Linked DNA regions of Tribolium castaneum. Each later gene encodes a partner of the first gene's protein in a complex. Links are inferred from orthologs where the notes say so. Each region holds a gene or a part of one and is shown in the gene's direction. Other genes may lie near its edges.

Region 1 (12,234 bases):
AATTTGAGTTGAAAATATTTTCTGACAATGTTGCCTTACTTTTGTCACATTAATATCGGGCATTTTTATATTTCAAGCTAGTAGTATGTCATAATAATTACCCACAGGCTATCCATTTTCAACACGAATAAGAATATCTTTAAACATTTATTATAAAATTAAATTGAAAGTAAATACCAACTCTTAAAATTTAAAATACCAATATGTGTATATTTTTCAACATTTTGCCTTACTTTTGTCCGATAGTGTATATAATATGTATATAATAATATATAATACATAAATAAATAAAAAATTAAAATAAAATAAAAATAAATATACAGGGTGTCCCACCGAAAAGGGCACCCCCCTCATAACTTTTTTATTTATTAATTAATTTAAACAAAATTTAAATTACACCTTTTAGAACCAAAGGTCCACATTTTAGCGCTACAAGTTTTTTTTTGAACGTATCATTTATGAAATAATTAATTTAAAATTAAGAAAAAAAATTGGAAAATTGTTTAACTGCATATTATTAAAAGAAGCAAGTTTTCATTAACGTATTAGCAAACATCGTTTTACCAGAAGTAATGCAGATTCTTTAAAACCTTTTTTTTAAAATCGCAATGTCACTTTGACATAAAAATGTCGAAAGATATTCAATTCCTTTATTATTCAGATATATATTCCTTCAAGATTATATAAATAATCTAAAAACTATTAAATTTAAATTTTACTTTAGACACTTTATTTACAATTTGCGACATAGAAAAACAGTATACTTCGTTATTTTGCTACCATGTTTGGTATTGAAAAGAATTCTATAAACCTTGGATACTTTTACGGTGAACAATGATCATTTTGCGTTATACACAAAAATACTTTGGATATTTTTATGTTGGATGAAATTACGTTTTTGACTTTTTTACGGTGGACAGAAGTATTGTAGCAACGTTTTCTTTGTACACCATGAAGTTTAACAACAGATAATGGTGTTTAAGATCAGCGAGCCTCACAATAAGATGTTTTGACAAGGGCGACCCGAAAATATTTACGATATCGATCGGTTCGTTGAAAGATTGCAACCTGTCTGCAATAAATCACACAATAAGCTTGCCTGAATAATTAATTAGCTTGAAAGGTCCTTGTGGTTTGGGCTAATCATAATAAAAATCATTTTACTTTGGACAGAAATACTTTGGACTTTTTTACTTTGGACATAATTGGCTCTCCCGTTTTTTAATGAGTTTTCTATTATAAATACTAAATTGAAGAGGTCTCCATTTTTTAATGAAATGGAAAAACTACTTAACTGGTTAGGTATTTTGCTTACAAGGGCAAAAATAATAAAAAAATCTCATCAAGTCCAATTGTTAGGGACAAATCTTCTTTTGAAGGTTTTTGGTTTTATATCTGTTCTTATTTCTTCACATTACATAATTATGTATTCTGTAAAACAGTAAAAAATCTAAGTACAACACATTTCTTCTACTTTTAAAGAATGCATTAAATTTAATTTTGACTTGCATACTTTTGCTGAAAACACAAAAAAAAATAATACGTAATAACGAGTATGTAGTACGCTATTAAATATTTAGCGAATTTTTTCATAGCTCTTTTAAAATAATTTTTAATTATACATCAATGTGCATTTTACACTTTGTATTTTTGTTATTATTAATGTTCTGATTTTGAATTTTTTGAAGTTAGTCACTTGCACTTTGCGTATATTTTAATTACAAAAATCGTAGTTGCCAACAAATTTATTTTTTTTGCTGCCACCTACAAAAACAAAATTAAAATTGATTTTTTTTATTTATTTTTCTATTGTTGTTACACTTTTATTTAGTTCTTAAAACGCTTATTTTACAGGTTTTTATCTTTAGAGTTTTTGTTTATAAGCTTCAAATAACTGTTTTGTTGTAGCTGTCGAATCATTATTATACATTAATTTGCTTCTCTTATTTGCATTTTTTATGTGGCAATGTAATTGTCTTCTTGTGTTTATTTTTATTTTTTTAAATTACCAAATAATTATTCTATTGCTGGCTGATTAGTGATTACTGATCACACCATTTTGCAGTAATTTTTTTTAATTTGGATTAGAGAAAAAGATATAACAGCTACAAGGGAGAGAACAGTAAAAGATGCTCAATAATTTAAAGAATTTTGAATTAAAGTCAAACTTTTTCAGTCTGCGGATTATTTTTTCTTTCACAAACAATTCAGATAGGGATAAAAAGGGTAGATAATCGAAAAGACAATTCATTTATCATCGATTTTTTTTATTTGTGAGCTAGATAAATCATTTGAAATTGGTTGAAATAGTTGGTACAAATTAAATGCACAGTATTTTATTTGAACGATTTATTTTATTTACTGTGCATTTATTATTTTTACTGTGCATTTATTATTTTTTACTGATCAAAATCGAATTTATTACTGATCGCTTTATTTAATTTAATTTAATTTAATTTGTCGATTTTTTAAATTCTTTTAGTTTTTGGTTCATGAATGAGCTAAAATTTCCAGAATTGGCTGAAACCACTGAGTATATGGTGAAACAAAGAAGCAAATAAAGAATAAATATTTGCATATTAAAAACATTGTTTTTTATTTTGTTATACTTTTCTGTTTCTTATTCTTTTTTCTATGTTTACGTTATTATATCTTATTTTCAAAAACTAGTCGGTTTGTTTCGACAAGATCTGTTGGAAGTTATTTTCTGGTGAAAAAAGAGAATTTACTAAAACATTTTTCGGACCTGCTTTCGGGACTTTTTTAGTTTATTTCAGTGCCTAACTAGCCTGAATTTTAAGAGCAATGAAATAAAAAAAATGATCTATTCAAATAATGGTAAGCACAAGGTAAAAAAATACAGAATCGGCATTTTCAATAGTAATTCGAGACAAAAGTACAAAAATTTTAGTGACAATAAAAAAAAATATGGACGTATCCGAATTGCACACCATGGTGAGAAAAACAGGAACCTCTTGACCAGTTGTCCCTTATCGGTAACCGAGCGGTGCATCAAAATTTTATAATTTTATTTATTGAAGGAATAATAAAAAAAATCAGTATATTATCTATCAAACATTATAGGGTAAGTTCGAATAAGATAGATTACATACAAAAGATTGCAATTTGTTTTTCATTTGGTTATTCAAAAAAACTTTTTTCTTTACTGCTCGTTAACTGAATTTTTACATTATGTCGTAACTTAAAAATTTAGTAAATTATTTACAAATGTGAAAATATTCACAAGGAGAGACACTTCCTATCCTTACCTGTGTTTGATTTTGTTGAAAATTGACGGTGGTATTCAACGAAAAAAAAAAACTTTTATCAAAAACTGTTTAGTTCTAATTTTCATTGGGTAAAAAAAGTGTAAAGAGTAAAGTTGTGAAGAATCAAATTTTCTGCTAAAAACTGGAGACCCTATCTCTATTCTCAGCTGTTTTGGTGCTATCCTGTCATTCAGCCACCAGTAAAAAAAATAATTTTTGTTTTAACGTATTTATTAAAAACCGAAGTGTTTTGCAATTTTTCGTGTTTTTTTTAGGTGTTACGACCCACATGGAGCTCTCCAAACTGGCCTTCCTCTCAAACCTAGCCCAACTAATCCCCATGCCCGACTGCAACCAATCACCCCGTAACATGTACCAGTGCCAGATGGGCAAACAAACAATGGGCACTCCTTGCCACAACTGGCGTTCCCAATCCGAAACCAAACTCTACCGCCTCCAAACACCGGCGACTCCCCTTTTCCGACCCGTCCACTACGACAACATCAACCTTGACGACTTCGCCATGGGCACAAACGCCATTGTTGCCGTTATCAGCTACACTGTAAACCCATTAACTTCGGAAAAATCCCCAATTGAACCATCTGTTCCCAGGGCTATGACATGGAAGACGCAATGATAATAAACAAAGCCGCGGACGAGCGTGGTTTTGCCCACGGTTCCATTTACAAAACCGAATTTGTAACACTTGAACACGAGTCTTCGTATTTTTGCCGAAACCCGGAAAAACCGGAACTGGCCGAATTCTTAGACACGGACGGCTTGCCAATCATCGGACGCCGAATGAAAGATGGGGATCCCCTGTACTGTTACTACAGTGTGGACGAGTCGGTGTACAAAGTAACCAAGTTTTCGGGGAAAGAGGAGTGTTTTGTCGACATGGTTAAACTGTGCGCCAGTTTTGAAACGACCAATCGGACGGCGTGTTTCACGTTCAGAGTCCCGGTACTTCCCCCACATTTTTTTTTATTGAGTTCTTGGTAATTATTTTAATTGTAGCGTAACCCGAACGTTGGCGATAAATTCGCAAGTCGGGCAGGACAAAAGGGCATTTGTTCGCAAAAGTGGCCCATGGAGGACTTACCTTTTACGGAGACAGGGCTTGTGCCTGATATTGTCTTCAACCCTCATGGGTTTCCCTCTCGTATGACCATCGCTATGATGATTGAGGTCATGGCTGGGAAATCGGCAGCGCTTCATGGGCTAGTACATGATGCAACTCCCTTTAAATTTACAGAAGAAGACACTGCGATTGATTATTTTGGTCGGTTGTTGGAAGCAGGGGGTTATAATTATTACGGGACTGAGACCATGTATTCGGGGATTGATGGTAGGGAAATGACAGCGCAAATATTTTTCGGGATCGTTCACTACCAGCGCTTGAGACACATGGTTTCGGATAAGTGGCAGGTGATTAAAAAAAAAGTCGGATCACTTTTGTAATATTGGGATATTGGAGATTTTCATTCTGTTGTATTCGGACCAAGTTATGTTACTAAATTTGACAGTTGGCAATGCTTTTACTACTGTCATGAAAATTTGAAGTTTGTCTTTGACATTGTCAAAATTAACGAATTTAAAAGAATTAAGCGTGCAGCAACGAACTAGCCCCCTATTGCTGTTTGTGTAACCCCATCAAATTGGCTGGGGGGCCACCAAGACACTCAGCAACCACTGACAAAGGTTATTTTCAATATTATGACGAGAGAGATTAAATCAATCTGCGGCTCACAAAAAACAATAACTAATTATTTGTCTAAAATAACTTGTAAAGTAGGTTTTACCGGCCTTCTTTTTTGTCCGTTCATATTTTCAATACACAAGTTTATTTGGTGTATTTGATTAGTTGTCCATTAATTTATTTAGATTTCTTATTAAAATGTGTTATATTTGATAGTTTTTGTCATGTTTTGACTGTAAATAATATTGAGTGAAGCAGTTTTATGATTGTCTGAACGTCCCTTTTTAGCGACTTAAAGTGCAAATAATGTACTCAAATATCGGTAAAATGACTAAGCAGTGTTACTTACAAGCAGAAAACTTGACTGACTTAACGTATTTTGTAGGATTTGAACAATTTGACACTGACATATAACGTAACCTGTTTTTGAAAGCCTAAATTCGCGGTAAACTAACTTACAATGCCAAAATTTTCAAGTTTATGCGATTTTGTTTAATATTATTATTATTGTTTTATAATTTTTGTGTTGTATTTTTTATTTTTTTTTTATGGAAATTTGTAGGTGCGTTCAACTGGGCCGACCGATATTTTGACGAGACAGCCCCTCAAAGGGCGGAAACGAGGAGGGGGTGTGCGATTTGGAGAGATGGAACGTGATTCGTTGATCAGTCATGGCGCTTCGTTTTTGTTACAAGATCGCTTATTCCACTGTTCCGATAAAACAACAGTACGTACATAATTATTAATTAATACTTCTAGGTAAAAAAACGTTGCTCGAATAGTGTGAGTTTTTCACCCATCTTAGCTTCATTTTTGACAAATTTTCTCTCTTCTACTGTATGTTTTTCCGAAATTTCGCGAAATAATTGCGTTTCTGGTTGAAAATCGTGTTAAAACGTTTTTGCGCCCAGATTAGTTGGTTTAAAATGTGTTTAAATACTTGAAAAAGGTTGAAAAAACAGCATTATTGATTTAATTTGCTGGTTTTTTGTATTAGTTAAAAATTTTGCGAGATAATTACATTTCTTATTAAAACACGCCCAAAAACTCTGATATACGTTTTGATATAATTTTTACGGTTTTTTCGGTCCTATATCTCAGCGGTTCCCCACCTTTTTCACCTTTCGAACCCCTTCTAACATCCGACAGATATTGTTGAATTATTTATTACGTATTTTTTATATTTTTTGTTTTAAAATTAGGAACAGATTACAGTAAATACTTTCAGCCAATTCATTTGGAGGAATTTTAGTAAAAAAAAAATTGCGTCCAGTATTTGATTTATTTTGAAAAAATGTCACTAATGTTGGCAAAATATCCTAGATGAAAATATAGATACGAAAACACAGAAACAGGGTCAAATTCCGTTATCAGATAACAGTTTTTGATGTAGATGTGACAAAAAGTGCTTAATTAACGCTGCAATTTCCAATTTTTATTAAAAAGAAAGCAAGGAAAATGCAAAATAATTATGTGAGATAGAAAACAAATAATACGAAGGAATAAAAAAAAATGCCAATATTATTTTTAAACTTTTAAAGTCTGAAGAAGAATTTAGAACTTGCTTTAACTTCTCGCCTATTTCAGTTCAAATTACAGAAAACTGATAACCAGTCTTCATAACATATAATTGTTTCCGTCGATAAATAAGTTTATTTTTTCAGCAGAAGCGTCCTTTTTTATTAAAATTTGTGTACGAAAAGCTGATTTTTGTTCATAATATTATTACCTGTTCTTATTATTTAATAAGCATTGAGTTCTGTTTTCATAGATATAAAGTGGTAATATCTCTCTCCAAGTGTTCGATAAAAACGCGTTCAACAAACTATCTAGAATCCGTAAAAGTCGAAATTTTGATGAATCTTGAACATGAAAACATAATTAATTTTTTAAAGAAAAATAATTTATGGCCCACAGAGACAATGGGGTGCTGCCAATTTTATTTCAATTTATTATTTTGTAATTTTTACGTTAGCCATTTTATAAAATTCCGCCATTACAATACTTTTTTTGGCAAACCTGGGAAATACTGCTAAGTCTATCCTAACAAAAACATCTTATAAAAAATCTGTTTTTAGCTCAAAAAAGTGGTAGAAACCTCAAAATTGGCATAGTAACACTATTTTTGGATGTAACTGTGTGATTTTTCGATTTATTTTTGACGGAAGTCTTCGAAATAATTGTGTTTGTGGCGAAAATAAGGCCTTACGTTAGACAAGTGCTTAAAAGCTTGAAAAGTGATGGTTTAATTTGACTTATTTTATAATTTTTCGGTTCGTTCTGATGAAATCTCGTGAAAACAGGGGTTTTTGGCTCAAAAACGTGCTAGGAAGCTCGAAAAAATGCAATGATAACACAATTTTTTATCGTAAATTGTTAATTTTTTTTGTATATTTTTGATGAAATTCCTCGCACTAATTAAGTTAAGAGATTTAGTTATTTTTCAAGCCTTTTTTGGCGAAATCTCTCAAAAAACAAAAATGTTAGCTTTTCATTTAATTTTGTGATTTTTCGTCCACCTTTAACGAAATTGTGCGAAAAACCTGAGTTTTTAAATGAAAAACGTGACAAAAAGCTAAAACGGCACCATTTCGGACGTAATATCTTGACGATTTTTCGATGTATTTTTAACAGAATTACATGAAATGATTGCATTTCTAGGAGAAAAACGTCATAAAACGCTCGATAAACGAAAAATTTAATAAAGCTTTATCTCAGACAAGTGTTTATACGCTCAAAAAAGCTAAAAATTATTTAGTTTTTGATTTAATTTTGTGGTTTTTCGTTCCTTTCTAACGAAAATTCGTGAGAAAACTGAATTATTAAATTATTATATTACCTTAAAAACGTGCAAGATAGCTCGAAAAAACAATAGTAATACAATTTTTGTACCTACCTTAGCGATTTTTTGATTTATTTTTGACAAGATACCTTTTTTTTGTTGGTAAGCCTTCTTTTTAAAATCTAAATCCTAAAATATTAACACTGTTTTAAAACACGTTTCCGATAATTCGAGTAAATTTTCTGACCGGTTTTTGTGAAATCTCGTGAACTAAACGTGCCTTTATCACGGAAAAGCACTTAAACGCTCGAAAATGGTAAAAATGCACCATTTTTGAACTAGTATTCAACAATTCTGCGGTTTATTATTGCGGAAATTTCGTAAAAAAATTTCGTTTCGACTGAAAACCTGTGTGAAAATAAATAGATTTTTCGCGGTTTAGTGAAATCTTGTGGAAAAACCTTTTATAGTTAAAAAAAACAAAAAATCCCATTTTGGAACTATTTTAGTGATTTGTAAGCTTGAAGTAGAAGAATTTCGCAAAACGTAAGTAACGGCACTGACGAAAAATTAAATTAAATTAAACATCCACTAATCCACTTCCTATCCAGAAATATCCCAAATGGATTAAAATTTAATGTAGCGATTGTTTTTTAGGCATTTATCTGCACCTCTTGTGGCACTCTATTGGGTCCAGTGACTGTGATAACCCGAGTGGCTGAAAAAGCGAACCAATCCACTTGCAAGGAAACTTGTAGGTTGTGTGGCCACGGCCGAGACATTTCCGAGATACAAATCCCTTACATTTTCAAGTTTTTTGTAACCCAAATGGCGTCGTGTAACATAAATGTAAAAATGTTAACACAACACGTGTAATTTTTTTTTTTTGTAATAAAAGAGAAAATAAACGATAATAATTTATTTTTGAATCTTCTTGCGGTAACGTGAAACAGATAAAACAAACACAAAAATAAAATAAGTTATCTAATGCTTACTGTACAGCGTTACAATGAAAATGTCGGTCAATTGAATAATTTAAGGAAAAATTGGCTAGTTTGTACAAGTATTTCCCCGGTTTTGTACAAGTGACGACAACTGTACTCAACCGACAAAATGACTACTAATACGAGCGATTTAAAGTCAAGATTACGGCAAATATGTGCACACACATACGGGCTGTCGTAATTTGGACTTTACCGGCGATTTCGGCAGTTTATTTGGTTGCTTGTTCCAAGTAAGCGATAAGATCCGCCCGTTCTTGCGGCTTCTTCAGACCAGCGAAGACCATTTTTGTTCCGGGGATGTATTTCTTGGGGTTTTCGAGGTACTCAAACAGCGTGTCTTTGTTCCATGTGATTCCTGCAACAAAAATTGCCAGTCAGGCTGGGACTATGGAATTTAAATGCAAAAAAGTTGAGCTTTGCACTCTAAAGCTAAAGCTACAACATATAACAATAAATTCAATAAATTTTTAACACAAAATTGTAAGTTAGCATGAGTATTTTCAGATCTAAAGAATTTCTAGTTTGTTGATGATAAGGCCATTCGACAGTGCTTATTCTTTTTTTGCTCGGTACTTATACCTCTTACAACCACGCACATAATATCAGTCATACTTCATGCTTATCATATTGTTAGTGTAGATAATTTATACTTAACTGAAAAAAGCTTTTCTATATAATACTGTAAGCGTTGACAAAGATAATGAATTGGTCAAAAATAAAGTAAATTATTACAAGAATAGATTTTTCCCACTTTCTACCCTTTTAATCCTACAATTTCTGAAAATTTGTCCAAAACTGAGAAGAGTTGTTAAAAAGCTTAGAAGTTTAGAAGCTTATTGAATCAGCTATGGAGGAAAAAATGTAGAAGTATCGAAGGTCCAGACCAATATAAACAAAAGTTTTGTACATTCTACATTAAAAAATAAAAAAAAATTAAAACAGTAGTGGTAGTCAGGTAGGAATGGCGACATTAGAACACTTTGTGAATTTATACTATTTCATTATAGTATATACTATTTACATTATTTATACTATTACATTTTTAAAATGCCGAAAACGGTGAAAATTAGTAATTAAGTTTTTTTTAAATAAGCTGTGGCGTTAGAAGTTTTGCTATGATAGCAGCACATTGTTCTAATTACGCGTCAGTGTATTATTTTTAACATAACTAGCTCCATGTTTGTTCTGTTATTCCTACAGTTTAGTTATGGAACTTCTGATTATTTTATTCTGAAAATCGTCAACAAGGAATCAACAAAAAACACTGGATAACACTTATGGTGCACCCCAAACAGGCTGGATAAAGACACTAACAGTAACATTTAGAAGTTTAATTTGTAATAAATTTTATGACCTATAGGTTTTAACCTATATAATATAACCAGGCGTTATAAAGGTTAGAAGTTACATAATCGGAAATAACCACGCACAGATAACGGTTAGATAAGGTGGTTATTGTGATTTTTTTGTAGGAAATTCAATTTTTTTATAACATTCCCCCTAACATTTTTTCTTGCATCTGTAACCGTATTCGTAGCGTTTTGAGTGCCAATTGGTAGTCTTGAAATTTTTTTAAATATAGTTTCCGATAACATTTTTGCATAATGTTTACGTCTTATTATTGAAAATTAATTGCGCTCTCTGGCGACATTAACGGAACTAATGAAGACGGGAACGTCTTTTTTGTTCGTCTTAACCTTTAGACACCGGTTGTTGGGATAGCAGTGTCCTCAACCGGGCGATATTGTCTCCACTAAATTTCTCAAAATTATAGCAATTTTTGAAGAAATGGAAATCTTATTTTTGACTTAATTAACGATATTTGTTTATTAATCTGGAGATTTTGATACGGTGTGGTTGCACCCCCTGAATTTTCGATTGGCACTTTGGCCAAATGTCACATTTTGAAAAAAAGATGGCTGTTTTTCGTGCTTTTCCAGGTGAGTTAATATTGATTTATTTACCTTTGGCTTTATTGGCGTCGGTGTAAGCAAAACCGGCGGCTTGCCCCGTTTTCCGTCCGATCAATCCGTGCAAATTGGGGCCGGTCTTGTGTTTGCCTCCGGCCTCGACAGTGTGGCACTGCGCGCACCTTTGGACGAAGAGTTTCTTGCCCTTTTCGACATCACCAGCCGGTACTCCCATGATGCTCGCTTAACTGCAACTGATAATTTTCGATAAATCCCGTTGCAAAAAGTGCTATCAGGTGATGTAACGCTAACGCAATACCGTCCACGTGTCTAGAGGTTAGGCAAATTCCACGGAGCGTACTTTGGAAGACCGTTGACGTCACACACGTGATTCACAGTCTGCTCGATTCTTCGGGATTCTCGCTGATAAGAGATAATTGTTACGCTAGATGTGGGTGAAGGTGAAGTTTTTGAACCGGAGCCAAACTTACATAACCAAAAATTTTGAAGCAGAAATGCGAAGCGAACGCTCAAAAAATGATGTGACAAGTGAATAAGGCCACTTGTTCAAAGTCACTTGTTATGTAATCAATCAGCGGATTAATTATCGGAAAATTTGGGCATAAATTACGAATTCATTGCGGTCACGTGAGGTGAAACGACGTGGCTTTTGCCAGTTATGAATCGAGATAAAATTGTGAAATTGCGGAAAAATTTAGTACGAACCTGAATTCGCCGACCTGCTGCTCTCGCGAACTGGAATTCACTGATCGATTTCGATTATTTCGCCAACTCCCGCGCACGGATTGTCTTGCTACGAAATTTTAGGGTTTAGTTCGGCTATTAGGCGCTAGAGGGCGCGTCAGTATTTCCGGTAAAGCCCACTTTACACAAACTAGCCCATTTTTCTGTGAGTGTATTGGTGGTTGCATATACATTAGGGACACCAAAACGCGTTCCAACACAGCTCATTGATTACTTAAAAAATGCTATTACTGTGGCTATTATAATAATTGTAATTGGTAAAATTAAAATCAGTAATTGTGGCATATTTACATATGGGCTAAATGGGCTATAGCCTAGGGCGGTAAAAATATCTTATTTTGATTACGAAAATATGTAGTAAATAAATCAGTCGATTAAATTTTTAGTTCTTATATTTTTTATTTCTTAAGTTCATAGTTAATTGAATAATTAATGAGTTTTAAGAAATTTTTAGTACTTTTAATTCAATTATAGGACATTTACGATGAGTAAAGGTAGCAAAAAACCTGAGTAGTACACAATATGGAAAAATGTTTTTGAAAAAGTCAACGACAGTCAACGACAACATAATATTATAGGAAAAACTGTAAAAATGGCTCCGTTTTTTGAGAAACAAAACTTTTAAATAAATGCAGGATAATTTTTTAATTGATATCTTTGACAATAAAGGAAACATTTAAGAAAATGTGTAGTAAATAAATCAAAAGATTCAATTTTTAGTTCTTCTATTTTTTTACTTTTTAAGTTCATAGTTAATTGAATAAGTTTTAAGAAATTTTTAGTACTTCCAATTCAATTATAGGAA
Region 2 (5,542 bases), on another chromosome or scaffold:
TAAATCCGTTACGAAATTACGTCAAGGTACAAAAAAGGAAACCACCTCTCGATGACATAATATCTCGCGAAAATGAATCATTGTAGTTTCACGCTATAGTGAGCGTTAAAACGTAAAAAATGCCACTTTAATTCGTGTTTTATTGATGTGTTTGTCTAATCGACAGTGTGTTTTATTCTGATAGGTGCTTATTTAGGAAGAATCGATCTTGTCGTCGATATTACTTAGCACAAGTTCGTTTATTATGCATTGATGACATTTCATATTATTCCGATGACCCATTAAACTCGATTATTTTTAATATTCCTCCTAGTTTACACTAATACTGGGCCCAAGTGTAATTAGCCGAGTCACACCGCTCCCTTTTTGCAGGGAAGCGGACTCAGGAATGCATCTGCGTGGGAATCTGCTTGACCCTTATGGTGGTCAACTTCTTCTTCATAATATTCCACGTCCGTATGGACAACTTGAGCACGATTTTGGTGGCGGCGTTTTGCGGCATTGTGACGGCGGATTTCGGCTCGGGACTCGTGCACTGGGCGGCCGACACGTGGGGCTCGGTGGAGCTCCCCATCTTGGGCAAAGTGAGTGGAGAGCGAAATGTTTGATATTTTAAATTTTGTGTAGAATTTTTTGCGGCCGTTCCGCGAACACCACATCGATCCGACGTCCATCACCCGCCACGACTTTATCGAAACCAACGGTGATAACTTCATGGTGACCATTCCGTTTCTGGCGAGGATGGTTTGGGATTTTCTGACGCTGCCTGCGGACGGGGTCGAGAGGAAGTTCACGTGGAATTGCTACGTGTTTCTGTTGGCGATTTTCGTGGCAATGACCAATCAGGTAGAGTTAATTATTGATTCGAATTAATTCCTCGGGTCGTGTGTGCGCTTTTAGATCAGCTCGCGATATAATACTTTATAAAATGATAGGGCCCGTGGCAAACACGCACACCTGGGGTAACGCGCCCGATAAATCTGAGTTCATTTGCTGATTGGAGCCACTTTCCAGATACACAAGTGGTCGCACACCTACTTCGGGCTGCCGGCGTGGGTGGTGTGGCTGCAGGAGCACCATGTGATTCTGCCGAGGCGCCACCACCGCATCCACCATGTGGCCCCGCATGAGACCTACTTTTGCATCACCACCGGGTGGCTCAATTGGCCGTTGGAGAAGCTGCGCTTTTGGAGCATCCTAGAGCTGCTGATTGAACACACCACGGGCTACAAACCGCGGGCTGATGATATGAAGTGGGCGCAAAAGGGCACGTGATATTTTTGTCTTTGTTATGAATGGGGTTTGTTTTGTTAGTTCTACGTGTCTGTGGAATAATTGCCAAAAGTTCATTTAGTTGATTTAGCGATTTATTGGTGATAGAGAACACCACGTTTTGTTCGATTCAATAAATACATAATCAAGTGCCTGATTTTAAGATTGGACAACGAATGTAATGTACTTTTATTGTTACAAAATCATGTTAACCATTGGGGACCAAGCGATGGGCCTTGGGCCAATTTTTTAAATGTTTAATAGTTCTTACAATTTAGCCTAATGATTTGATCAATTTTAGATTTATTGAAGCTAGTCTTAAACACTCCAGGGATAATCTACACGCACTACCAAAGTAGTTAGAGTGCCTGATTTAGGTACTTTATGAATCATTATCATTACAAACACGCTTAACACCCAGTAGGGTAATTTGTACGACTTATGACTAGGCTAAGGTTTTTAATTCTCAACTTGTTTGCAATTATTTAATTATTTGAGCTTTATGACGAGCTCCGTCTGCGTTTTATTCAATTAATCAATAAGCAGTCGTACGCTAGAAACTACCACAAAAAATGGTTTGTTAACTAGACAAACACTGTGATTTAAACATCGCAATAAATCGCAGTTATTTTTACCATTTCTAGACAAAACTGCAATGGTGCGCTCAGCTCCATTTGCGTGTGCGTCATCTGACATTTCTCTCACTACGTTTACACAGCAGGGGCATAGCGGTGACAAACTATCAAATATTTTTTGAGGTTACGAAGTTGTTACAAAAAATACAGATTCACAAAACAAGAACTAATAAACGCAGAATCAAAAACCTAACGAAACGCAAATCACAAAACACAATAAACGAACAGAAAATACTTACGATTAACACCGATAACACACACTTTCGACAACGATGCGACGACGTCTATAATTTACTGTCAATGTCAATTAATGTTCAAGGATACCACCCTTAGATAGCCCTTAGCTGTTTAAATTTGCATTGTTTTTGACAATTTTTATAGCTTTGTGTTGGTAATGAAAAAATGAAATTGACGCACACGCAAATCGAGCTGACCGCCACTATAATAGACAAGACGGTATTTTATAAAGTCTGGAACAAATGCAATTATTTTATACAATAAAGTTGCTTGAATTTAATGTGTTTTATTTTTTTCGCACCAAATTGTTAACTAAACTTAAAAAAATCGTAACAATCAAAATTTCATCAAAAAAAGTTTTTATCGCAACTGCGACGCAACCAACAATACACTAAAGTAAAAGTATTGTTTGAACCGATAACAAGTTTCGGACTGATGCACTTTCGTGCAACTCTCCAATAACCAATACTTTTGACGTTTGACGCATTTGACATCTGAACGTTGTGCTATGTTTGTGTATGCCTTTAAATTAGTCAATTAGCTAGAAATCGAGAATGAATGACGAAGAATTCGACGGTGATGACGTGGGGGACGACTTCGACGACGACGTCGATGACGACAACATCGAGGAGCTGGAGCAGCCCGAGGAGGAAGGCGACAACATCGACATCCTCGCTCATGGCCAAGCCGGGGGCGGAGTGCCCAAAAACAAACGCATAACAACCAAATACATGACCAAATACGAAAGAGCTCGTGTTTTGGGAACAAGAGCTTTGCAAATCGCCATGTGTGCCCCAGTTATGGTGGAACTAGACGGAGAGACAGACCCGCTTCAAATCGCAATGAAAGAACTCAAACAACGGAAAATCCCCATCATAATCCGGCGTTATTTACCCGACCACTCGTACGAGGATTGGGGCATAGACGAACTCATAATAATTGACCACTAGTGTAATAAGATTTTGTTTTTAAGAATAAAGGCTAAGTAAACATCGAGTTTTATTTTAATTAAGCGAAAATCATTTCGTCGCGGCGGCGTTTCGGCTGATTGGGCCGAATCTGGCATTCAGGGTGGTTCATTAGTTCAGGGGGGCACGTTGAGACAGGTGACGATAGCAACATTTGCTTCAAATCGTAAAATAGGGCCGAGTCGTCGTTGGTGCAAAAACTGATAGCCACCCCGCTCTTCCCGGCACGGCCGGTTCGGCCAATACGATGGGTGTAATCTGAAAAAAAATAAACAAATTACAGATTAGATTTCCTTTTTTCTTCAGTTTGCACTAGTCATAAAGAAAAAAAATCTGGGACAAACTTATCTTACCTTCAATAGTCTTGGCCATGTCGTAATTAATAACAACGGAAACATCCTTAATATCAATCCCTCTCCCAGCCACGTCAGTGGCCACCAAAATGTCCTTAGCCCCCGACTTGAGACTAGCCAGTGCGTACTCTCTCTGCTCCTGCCCCTTACCCCCATGGAGCGTACACGCATTGTAGCCCAACTTCTCCAACCCTTTGGCCAAAACATCGGCCCCTTTCTTCTGATTAACAAAAATAATAATCGGTGGATCGACCCCTTTGGACAAATACTCCATCAACTTCTTCCTCTTATCGTTCTCAGTCATAATATGCACAATTTGTTCGACCCGTTCCGTCGGTTTCCCGATCGAACCAATGTACACAACCGCCGGACGTCTCAAATACGTCCTCGCCAGTCGCTCAACCGCCGGTGGCATAGTTGCCGTAAACATCACCGTTTGCCGATATTTCTTCTTACTGTTGTAATTCGCCAAAATTATTTTACTATCTTCCGCTTCTTCCGAGTCCGGTTTCAAGTTAGTGACCGGCATGTACTCCAAAATTTTTTGCACATCTGCCTCAAATCCCAAATCAATCATGCGATCGGCTTCGTCCATAACAATGTACGTGCACTGGTTCAGGACCAAGTAGCGATTTTCCAAAACATCAATAAGTCGTCCCGGGGTTGCAATAACAATCTCGCACCCCATTCGCAGCCTAAAACCTTGCTCCTCGCGACTTAAACCGCCCACAACCACCACAGTGCGGATCCCCAACGGTTGGCCAAACTTCACCGTCTCCTCCTCGATCTGTTGGGCCAATTCACGCGTGGGGGCTAAAATAATGGCATAGGGGCCCTGATCGGCATCTTCAGTGCGTTCGATTTTCGGGAGCGATTGAATCCAGGATAAAAGCGGGATCAAAAACGCAAGCGTTTTGCCCGAACCGGTCTCCGCAACCCCGATAATATCCCGGTTCTGCATCCCGATGGGAATCGCCTGTCTCTGGATGGGGGTTGGTTCCTTGTAGCCCACTTTATCGATGATTTCCAGCAGCTCTTTCTGGATGCCTGACTCTTTCCAGGAGCGGATGGGTTCCGGGATTTTGCCGCCTTTGATTGTGATGTTGTAATCTTCGCGGAAAATGCGCCAATCACGCTCGGTCATTTCCGAGACGTCTTTCTCCGACCAGTGGCGATCGTCCCACAGTTGCTTCTCTTCCTTACGTCTGACTTTCTTCAACCTGACTTTTTCCTGGGCTTTTTCCGCTTCGGTGCGGCGTTTTTCGAGTAGTTCGCCGTAGAATTTGCTTTGGTCGCGTTTTTGGGCCTTGATGTCGATTCCGGCGAGGTTTCCGCGGCCGAAAAATTGCACCTGGTGGCGCTCTTTGTACAAGGGATTGTAGTCCTGGGACGTGTCCTCACCGGCGTCCCAGTCGAACACGAACTTTCGGTCGTTCAAACGCCTAACTCGTCGCTTCTTTTTTATCAAACCCAAGTAGCGTTCTTTAATCGCGTCGGATTCCTTCTCCCTGTCTTTATCCTTCTGTTTGTCTTCGTCTTTTTCGCGATCACGCGGCCGCCGAAACTCCCGGTCATCCTTTCTCTGTTCCTCCTGTCTGGAAGCTTGCACGTTTTCGATTATTTTCCGTTCGGCTTCTTGTTGTTTCCTCAAACGGTCAACTTCCTCCTGACGACGTTTCAACGCCTCTGCGGCTCGCTGTTCCTTGGTCAAAAACACCGGCTTGCTTTTGGCCGCTTCTTCGGCCTTTTTCTTAGCCAGAAGCTCCTCCAATGACAAGGGTTCCTTCTTAGGTGCTGGTTCCTGTTTCACGTCTGATTTCGTGTCGGGTTTCGTTTCTGTCTCTGGTGTTGGTGATCGCTTTCGCGAGTCTTTCGATTTCTTGTCTTTATCATCTTTCCGGTCACGTTCAGACTTACTGTACCTGTCGTATTTGCTGCTGGAACTCTCGTACTTGTCTCGGGAACGAGACCTGTACCGTTTGTGGGGGCGCTCTTTGCTACGTGAGCGCGAACGCCGTCTCTTATCCAGGCGGTCTCTGCTACGAGAACGGCGCTTTTTATCGTTCACCATCGATCA
Region 3 (6,764 bases), on another chromosome or scaffold:
TTATTCAACTTTTCGTTATCAAAAAGACCAATTTTTGAAAAATCGCTGCAAAGTCGCCTATGAATATTTTCCGGTAAATTTGCAACAGAAAAATTCAAAATATCCTGTAGTTTTAGAAAATAGTCGACTTTTACTTGAAACACGGAAATAATGTACAGGGTGTGCCAAAACGCAGAAAGTTGAATAACTCATTTTTTTTATGGAACACCATGTATTTCTTTACATGTGTCGATTGCATTTTTCATAAGCTTTCTATTGATATGCGGTTTTTATAGCAAATTTACAATATTTCTTAAAGTGTTCAAAAAAATAAAATTTTATTTTTTATTTATTTTATTAATAATTCTTGATGAGTGAAATTCATTTAGGTATCAGGTAATAATTAGATTACTTGTGTAATTAGTCACATTAGTACATATCCAAAAATTAATTACCAGTTGACTATCAGATTCTAGGCTAACATATTGTCTTGTAATAAAATATATTTTTTTGAAAAATCTCAAAAGATATTTTAAATTTGCTATGCAAGCCCTATACCGTTAGAAAGCTTATCAAAAATGCTATCGACACATTTAATAAAATACAGGCTGTTCCATTTGAAAAAAATGAGTTATTGAACTTTTTGCGTTTTGGCACACCCTGTGTATTATCTGCGTACTTTAACTAAAAGTCGTCTATTTCCTCAAACTACAAGGTATTCTAAGTTTTTATGTTGCAAATTTATAGGAAAATATTCATAAGCGACTTTGCAGTGATTTTTCAAAAATTGGTCTGTTTTATAACGAAAAGTTGAATGATTCCGAAACAAAAAGAGATTGACCCATAATAGTTTATATAAAGTTACATTATTTTTTGCGTAGAATTGAATTAAGCAAAAATATATAGTGTGTTGCATTTAAAAAAATGTAACTTTAGTTCACCACACTGTATACAACACCCTGTGTATAACAAAAATATTTTTAGTACAGAATAGTAATATTTCAAATAGTAAAAAAGTTATAGACCGATTACACACTGCTGGGTCACCCTGTATTAAATACCTGTTAAAAGTCTAACATTTGTGCCAAGTTTTATCAAAAAATTTCTATTTCTTCTTGGTGTTGCAATCTTTATGACACTGAGTATATTTTTCTAATAGAATGCTATTATTTTTTTGAGCTCATTAAGATGCCTTTTTCGCTTCTTCGTGTCCTCAAAGGTTTTTTTAGTTCAGTTTAGGGATTGCTGTTAAAAAAAAAACAAAAAAATCGGTTTTACACCTTTATTTTTTAAAAATTAGTAAAAAATAGAAACAGTGCTTTTTTGATGACATTATTATCACGTACGTCTTAAATAAGGCCTAACAGGCTTATTAACTGAGTTTGATTGATCTGAATTACTACAGAGTGTTTACAATTTTTTTTCAAACTTCTTAAAATTTAAAGTCTGTAGCACCCTGTACAGGTGGTCCAGCCCAGCTTCCATCTTCGGTGGCTCAGTTATTATTTAACAATTTATACTCTAGGATTTCAAAAAAATATTTTTGTTTATACATAGTGTCACAAAAAAGTATGACATCATAATAATAATTTTTATGGCATACTACTATTACTACATTAAGATGCCTTTCTAGCTTCTTACATGTCCCTAAAGTTTTTTAATCGGTTTTATTACTACTTTACCAGAAACATGAAATATGATCAAAAAAACTCATTTTTCTCACGAGTTCTTTTATCTGTAAGATGATGCAATAAAAGCTGTATATTTTTGAAAAACACAAAAATAAATAAGGAAAACTTGAAATAATTAGCAATCACTAGCACAAACACTAGAAATAACAGATAAGTACTTGTGTGATATCAACTTATCTAGTCATTATTATTATCTATTCCGGAGTCTGGGTGGTTCTAATCCATACAAAAATAACACAACAGATGTAGTAAGATAAAAAGTAATATGAAATCAACTAAATCTATCAACATGCAGTAAACAATAACACTAACACTGAATCCAGTTCCACAAATTTATGTTTTTGTCTCTAGAACAAAAACTTTAAAATTAATCCCTCACTAATCTGGCATCATTTCTTGCAATAATTTTGTTAATCTCTGTTAAAAAACAAAAAATAAGCAACATATCCCACTTGAACCACCAACTTATTAACGAGTTGATATCACAGTATAATATCTACAACTCACCGGTTTAGAGGTTTCCTTGTAATAATTACGTTTATTAATCCATTTCACACAGTTTTAAAACATTTATCAACTGTATTTAACTTTGTACAAGCCCTTTACCACTTTTGAAACGAGACAACACGTAAAATGTCAACACCTGAAATAATTGGTACGACTGACACAGAGTTGGAAAAATTGAAAGTCACTAAACTGTGCGCTTAGAATCCTATGGTTTTTGAGTCTTTTTTTTTGAGTTTTTGAAAAATATAAAAACACACCAAATTCCTACAAGTTTTCTTTTAATTGAACGTAAGGACTAACACTAGGACACAAAAAAGTGTCTGGGTTCCAAATACACGAAACAAGAAGAGAGTATCAAATGCACATTGGGTCGAAAGCGCGCACCAGAATCAAAAATCAAAAAAAGAATTTTTTAACACATTCAAAAAAAGGTCATGGAGTAAATACAATTGCCATGTATAATTACATAAGTGTACTATAGTAGATAAGAACCATTAATAAAAGTGTAAAAAACCGGTTAATTATTTTACGTAACCTCACATTTTTTGTGACTTGAGGTGATATATTATCGTGGATTTGTGGCCTAATTAATATTAATAAATGGTGGGTTTGTGATTTCACGTAAGTCATTTAATATTTTTGTCATTTTTTGCACTATAACACATTTGTTAGGTTTCCAAAAAAATTAAGTGAGGTTATCATACCCACACGTGGGCCCCCCGAAAATGAAAAAACAAAAATTATTAAAAACTTTTAATTTAAACGAATTAAACTCGTTAGTTGAGGATAAGAATTCGTGTGTGGAATTACTTACCCTCCAGGAACACATAGCCCTCCACCCTTACCACTTGAACGATTTAAATAATTCAGTTAAGGAGATCCTCAATTCAAGGATAGGGAAGTTTAGTGCCAGGTTTTGGGTAAAAATGAAAGTTTTGCCAATAGTTTTAATAATTTATTTGTAGATTAGATGGGATTCTGTGTGGTTACAAAAATACAAAATTGTTGTCAAAAGCAGGAAAAATCTGTGATGATTCTTGCTACATTCACGCCGATATTGAGGCCGAATTCTTCATTTTTAAGCCTGTGGAAGGTAAAATACTGGAAGGTGTCGTACACAAAAAGACTAAAGATCATGTTGGTTGTCTGGTACATAAAATTTTTAATGTGTCTTTGCCAAAGCCCAAGAAACATGAGTGGTTGGGCGAAAATTTGAACCCTGGCAGTAGAATACAACTAGAAATCACGTCAACAAATTTCGAGGGAAAATTGCCTTACATTAAAGGTAGAATTATGTAAGTTTATTTTTCATCATACAACTACATAGTGAGTCTGCTAAAAGTATTTCTCACCATATTTTAAAAAGTAATAGTCGCCCAAAAGTCAGCGTTATTAAATTATTAAATACTTTATATTTTTTTCTATACATGTGTTTCTTTTTCAGAATTTGTTTACCCTTTCTTATACGAATAATTGAATTTTTTATTTTTACTTAATTATTTTTTTTGGGGGTTAGTTACAGTTTTTTCAGCAACATTTAATTAACCATCGCTTGTTTTCAGGTGACACAGGAAATAAAAAAAATGTAGATAATTAGTAGTGCTTAGTTAATTTATTTATTGATTTTAATTGTACGGAATTGTAGAAAAATTCTGAAAAAAATCACAAGCACAGAAAAAAATATAAAGTATTTACTAGCAAACGCTGAATTCTGTGGGACTAGTTTTTGAGATGTAGTAACAAATATACTTTATAACAGACTCACCCTGTAGACAAAACTTAATTCAATTAATTGTAGCAATGTTTTGGACGCGACTCCAAACGTATTAAACGAGTCGAACAATAAAATAGTTTTTGAAGAAAACCTTGATGAGACAGTGACAAAAAGTAGTAAGAAGAAAGCGAAAAAAATTATTTTTGATGAGTCGTTCAATGACGAGAGTCTTAATTTTGACACATTAATAAAAGAAGGTAAATTTTTTATTAAAAAAAATTCTTACAACTTCTTGACAACTAATTTCAGAACCTGAGATAAGTTTAAAGAAGAGTAAGAAAAAAACTAAACGTAAGGCGGAAGTTGACGAAGATATTGAACCACCAATCAAAAAGAAAAAGAAAAAACATGTACAAGAGGATTCTTCATAAAATTGTTCCACAAATACATGAAATAAAATATAAAACACAATTCTTTTCTTTGTAAATGCCTCAATTTTTTTTAAATAATTCAGGCTTGAAGAGCTGGGCGTTCTTGCTTGGCTTCCAGTTCCACATTAGTTTGGGCATAGCCTGTACCCCCCTATAATAAAAACCGCATTACTTTTGTTACAAATTGAAGTGTTACTGTTTTACCCTCTGCATTACAATGATGTCTTTTTCTGTCAATTTTTTGCTAGTGAGCGGATGTATCCAATCTTTTTTTATAATTTTCTCCACACATTCTAGCGTAACAACGTCACCCCTAAAAGTACGGTCATTTTTTTATTTAGTGTTGTTAATAAGTTATTAACTTACGTTGGTTTGAGAACAGCACAGGGAACTGAGTTACTTAAAACATCGTGTGTTACAGCACACATGTAACGACATTCTTTCGCAATTAAGGATTTTTTGTCGCCTGAATCCTTGATTGGAGTGAATTTGACGTCAATTAAGTCTTTTACTTTGAGGGGTTTCCCCGAAATGGGGCACAATACCACATTGTCCTTAACAAACAAAGTAATTACTTTTGAGGGAAATATGTTTAGTCGGTCATAACATTTTTTAACCAAAAAAAAATAATAACCAGACCCCGCGCTGAAAAAATTACAAGTTTTTAGCACAAAAATAACTCCTCTCCGGCCAATTTCTGTGATTTTTTTCGTCTTATTTTTAAAGAAATTTTGCGAAATAATTTGTACTAAAACACTATAACAACGTGATTTTTTATTTAATTTGATAATTTTGCGGCCATCAGTATCATTTTTGGTGCAACCTCACAAACAAAAACAGAAACACTTTTGGCTAAATTTTGTACTTATTTATGTCGAAAGTTCTTAGCCATTATTATTGGTCTTCCCAAAATTTTGTCTTTGGCCAGGTTTTAGATAAATAATTATTTTTTGGCGACTTATTCATTTTTTGTGTTCTGTTCTTGAGCGAAAACAAATTTGGTACATTTTCATATGACTTTTAAAGAAGTTTTGCGAAAAAATTGCTGTAGAACGTATTAGGATGCTCGAACCAGGCAAAATTATTGGAATATTCGATTTAAATTGATGATTTTTCGGGCACTTTTGGCAAAATTACACAAAAAAACTGATATTTTAGTTAAGAACTTTGTTTAGAAACTTCATAAAGGTAAGAATATGACCATTTTCAAATTTCGATTTATTTTTTTTATTTTTATTAGGGGTGTTTTGATAAAATTTTACAAAATAATGAGCCTTATTTGATTCAAAAAAGAGGTAAATCGAATGAAACAATAAATGCAATTTCTATCTAGTTTGGCAATTTTTCTATCAGATTTAGTGAAACTTCGGATTTTTTTTTACCTCAGAATCGTGCTTTAATACTCAGGAAAAAGCAAATTTGACTCCATTTTTGGCGAAATTTGGTACATTTTCGTCTTATTTTTACTAAAAAATTACTGGAAAACGTACCAAAATGCTCTAATAAGAAAAAAAATGTGATTTTTTGATTTTGATTTTACAAAATCAGACAAAAATTTTGATAAACTTGCTTGATAAAGGGCTGCGTAAGGTCAGAATAACACTACTTTCGACTAAATTTTATATTTCATTGACTCATTTCTGACGAAACTTTACTAAAAAACGAGTTTAATTTAGTTTAGAAACTAAAACAGTAAAACAGTCAAAATCCGATCAATTTCGATTGATTTTTGCAATTTTTAAGCAGATTTTGAAAAGACCTTGCATAACTGAGCCTCTGGTTTAAGAACGAAATAATAATCGAATGAAACAAGTTAAAATGACTTCAATTTTGATCTAGTATGGTGATTTTTCAATTAGTTTTTGTAAAACTCTAAGTAAATCTTTGATTTAACATCAGAAATGTACTTTAATACTCAAAAAAGGCAACTCTGACTTAATGCTTAGCAAAATTACGTACATTTTCGTTTTATTTTTACAAAAAAAATCCCATAAAACATACCAAAACCTTGGAATACAGGAAAAATTGTGGAATTTACGATTTAATTTAATTATTTTTCAGCCAGTTTTAACGAAATCTTAAAAAAACAAGATTTTAGTTACTCGAAAAAAAAACAAATTTGACTCATTTTTGGGGAAATTTGGTACACTTTCGTTTTATTGCAAAACAAATTAAAACACTCGAATAAAAATAATATAATACTTTGATGATTTTTGGGCCAATTTTAGCAACATTCTAAAAAAAACACACATTTTTGTTCAAAAACTTGCTTAAAGGCCTCAGAAACACGATTTTCGACCAAATATTGTGGTTCGTCGACTTATTTTTATCAATTTCGACGATTTTCTAGCCAAAAGCAAAACAAAACAAGTGAAACAAGCGAAAACGACATCAATTTCGTGTTTTTCCAGTTAACTTTAATGAAACTTTTCGAAAAAAAAC

Evidence for each region.
Region 2: Polr1B (region 1) and Polr2F share a complex: the UniProt entries of both Homo sapiens proteins name them as parts of the pol I pre-initiation complex. The link is inferred for Tribolium castaneum from reciprocal best matches to the Homo sapiens genes POLR1B and POLR2F.
Region 3: Polr1B (region 1) and Polr1F share a complex: the UniProt entries of both Homo sapiens proteins name them as parts of the RNA polymerase I (Pol I) complex. The link is inferred for Tribolium castaneum from reciprocal best matches to the Homo sapiens genes POLR1B and POLR1F.

The regions. Positions count from the first base shown.
Region 1 is NC_087399.1:7,553,583-7,565,816, reverse strand, and holds the end of Polr1B (DNA-directed RNA polymerase I subunit RPA2), read left to right. Parts: intron 1-3,544; coding exon 3,545-3,831; intron 3,832-3,881; coding exon 3,882-4,232; intron 4,233-4,286; coding exon 4,287-4,697; intron 4,698-5,530; coding exon 5,531-5,695; intron 5,696-8,407; coding exon 8,408-8,626; 3' UTR 8,627-8,671; downstream 8,672-12,234. Other genes in the region: cytochrome c-2, read right to left, coding at 8,964-9,109, 10,719-10,899. UniProt on the Homo sapiens protein: Catalytic core component of RNA polymerase I (Pol I), a DNA-dependent RNA polymerase which synthesizes ribosomal RNA precursors using the four ribonucleoside triphosphates as substrates.
Region 2 is NC_087398.1:1,180,600-1,186,141, forward strand, and holds Polr2F (DNA-directed RNA polymerases I, II, and III subunit RPABC2), read left to right. Parts: upstream 1-2,698; coding exon 2,699-3,094; 3' UTR 3,095-3,140; downstream 3,141-5,542. Other genes in the region: Kua (plasmanylethanolamine desaturase 1), read left to right, coding at 373-584, 628-846, 1,015-1,275; probable ATP-dependent RNA helicase DDX23, read right to left, coding at 3,153-3,370, 3,466-5,536. UniProt on the Homo sapiens protein: DNA-dependent RNA polymerase catalyzes the transcription of DNA into RNA using the four ribonucleoside triphosphates as substrates.
Region 3 is NC_087394.1:6,582,284-6,589,047, forward strand, and holds Polr1F (DNA-directed RNA polymerase I subunit RPA43), read left to right. Parts: upstream 1-2,549; 5' UTR 2,550-2,798; intron 2,799-2,849; 5' UTR 2,850-2,902; coding exon 2,903-3,090; intron 3,091-3,142; coding exon 3,143-3,472; intron 3,473-3,975; coding exon 3,976-4,148; intron 4,149-4,200; coding exon 4,201-4,322; 3' UTR 4,323-4,362; downstream 4,363-6,764. Other genes in the region: nitric oxide synthase-interacting protein homolog, read right to left, coding at 4,402-4,473, 4,527-4,635, 4,689-4,876. UniProt on the Homo sapiens protein: Component of RNA polymerase I (Pol I), a DNA-dependent RNA polymerase which synthesizes ribosomal RNA precursors using the four ribonucleoside triphosphates as substrates.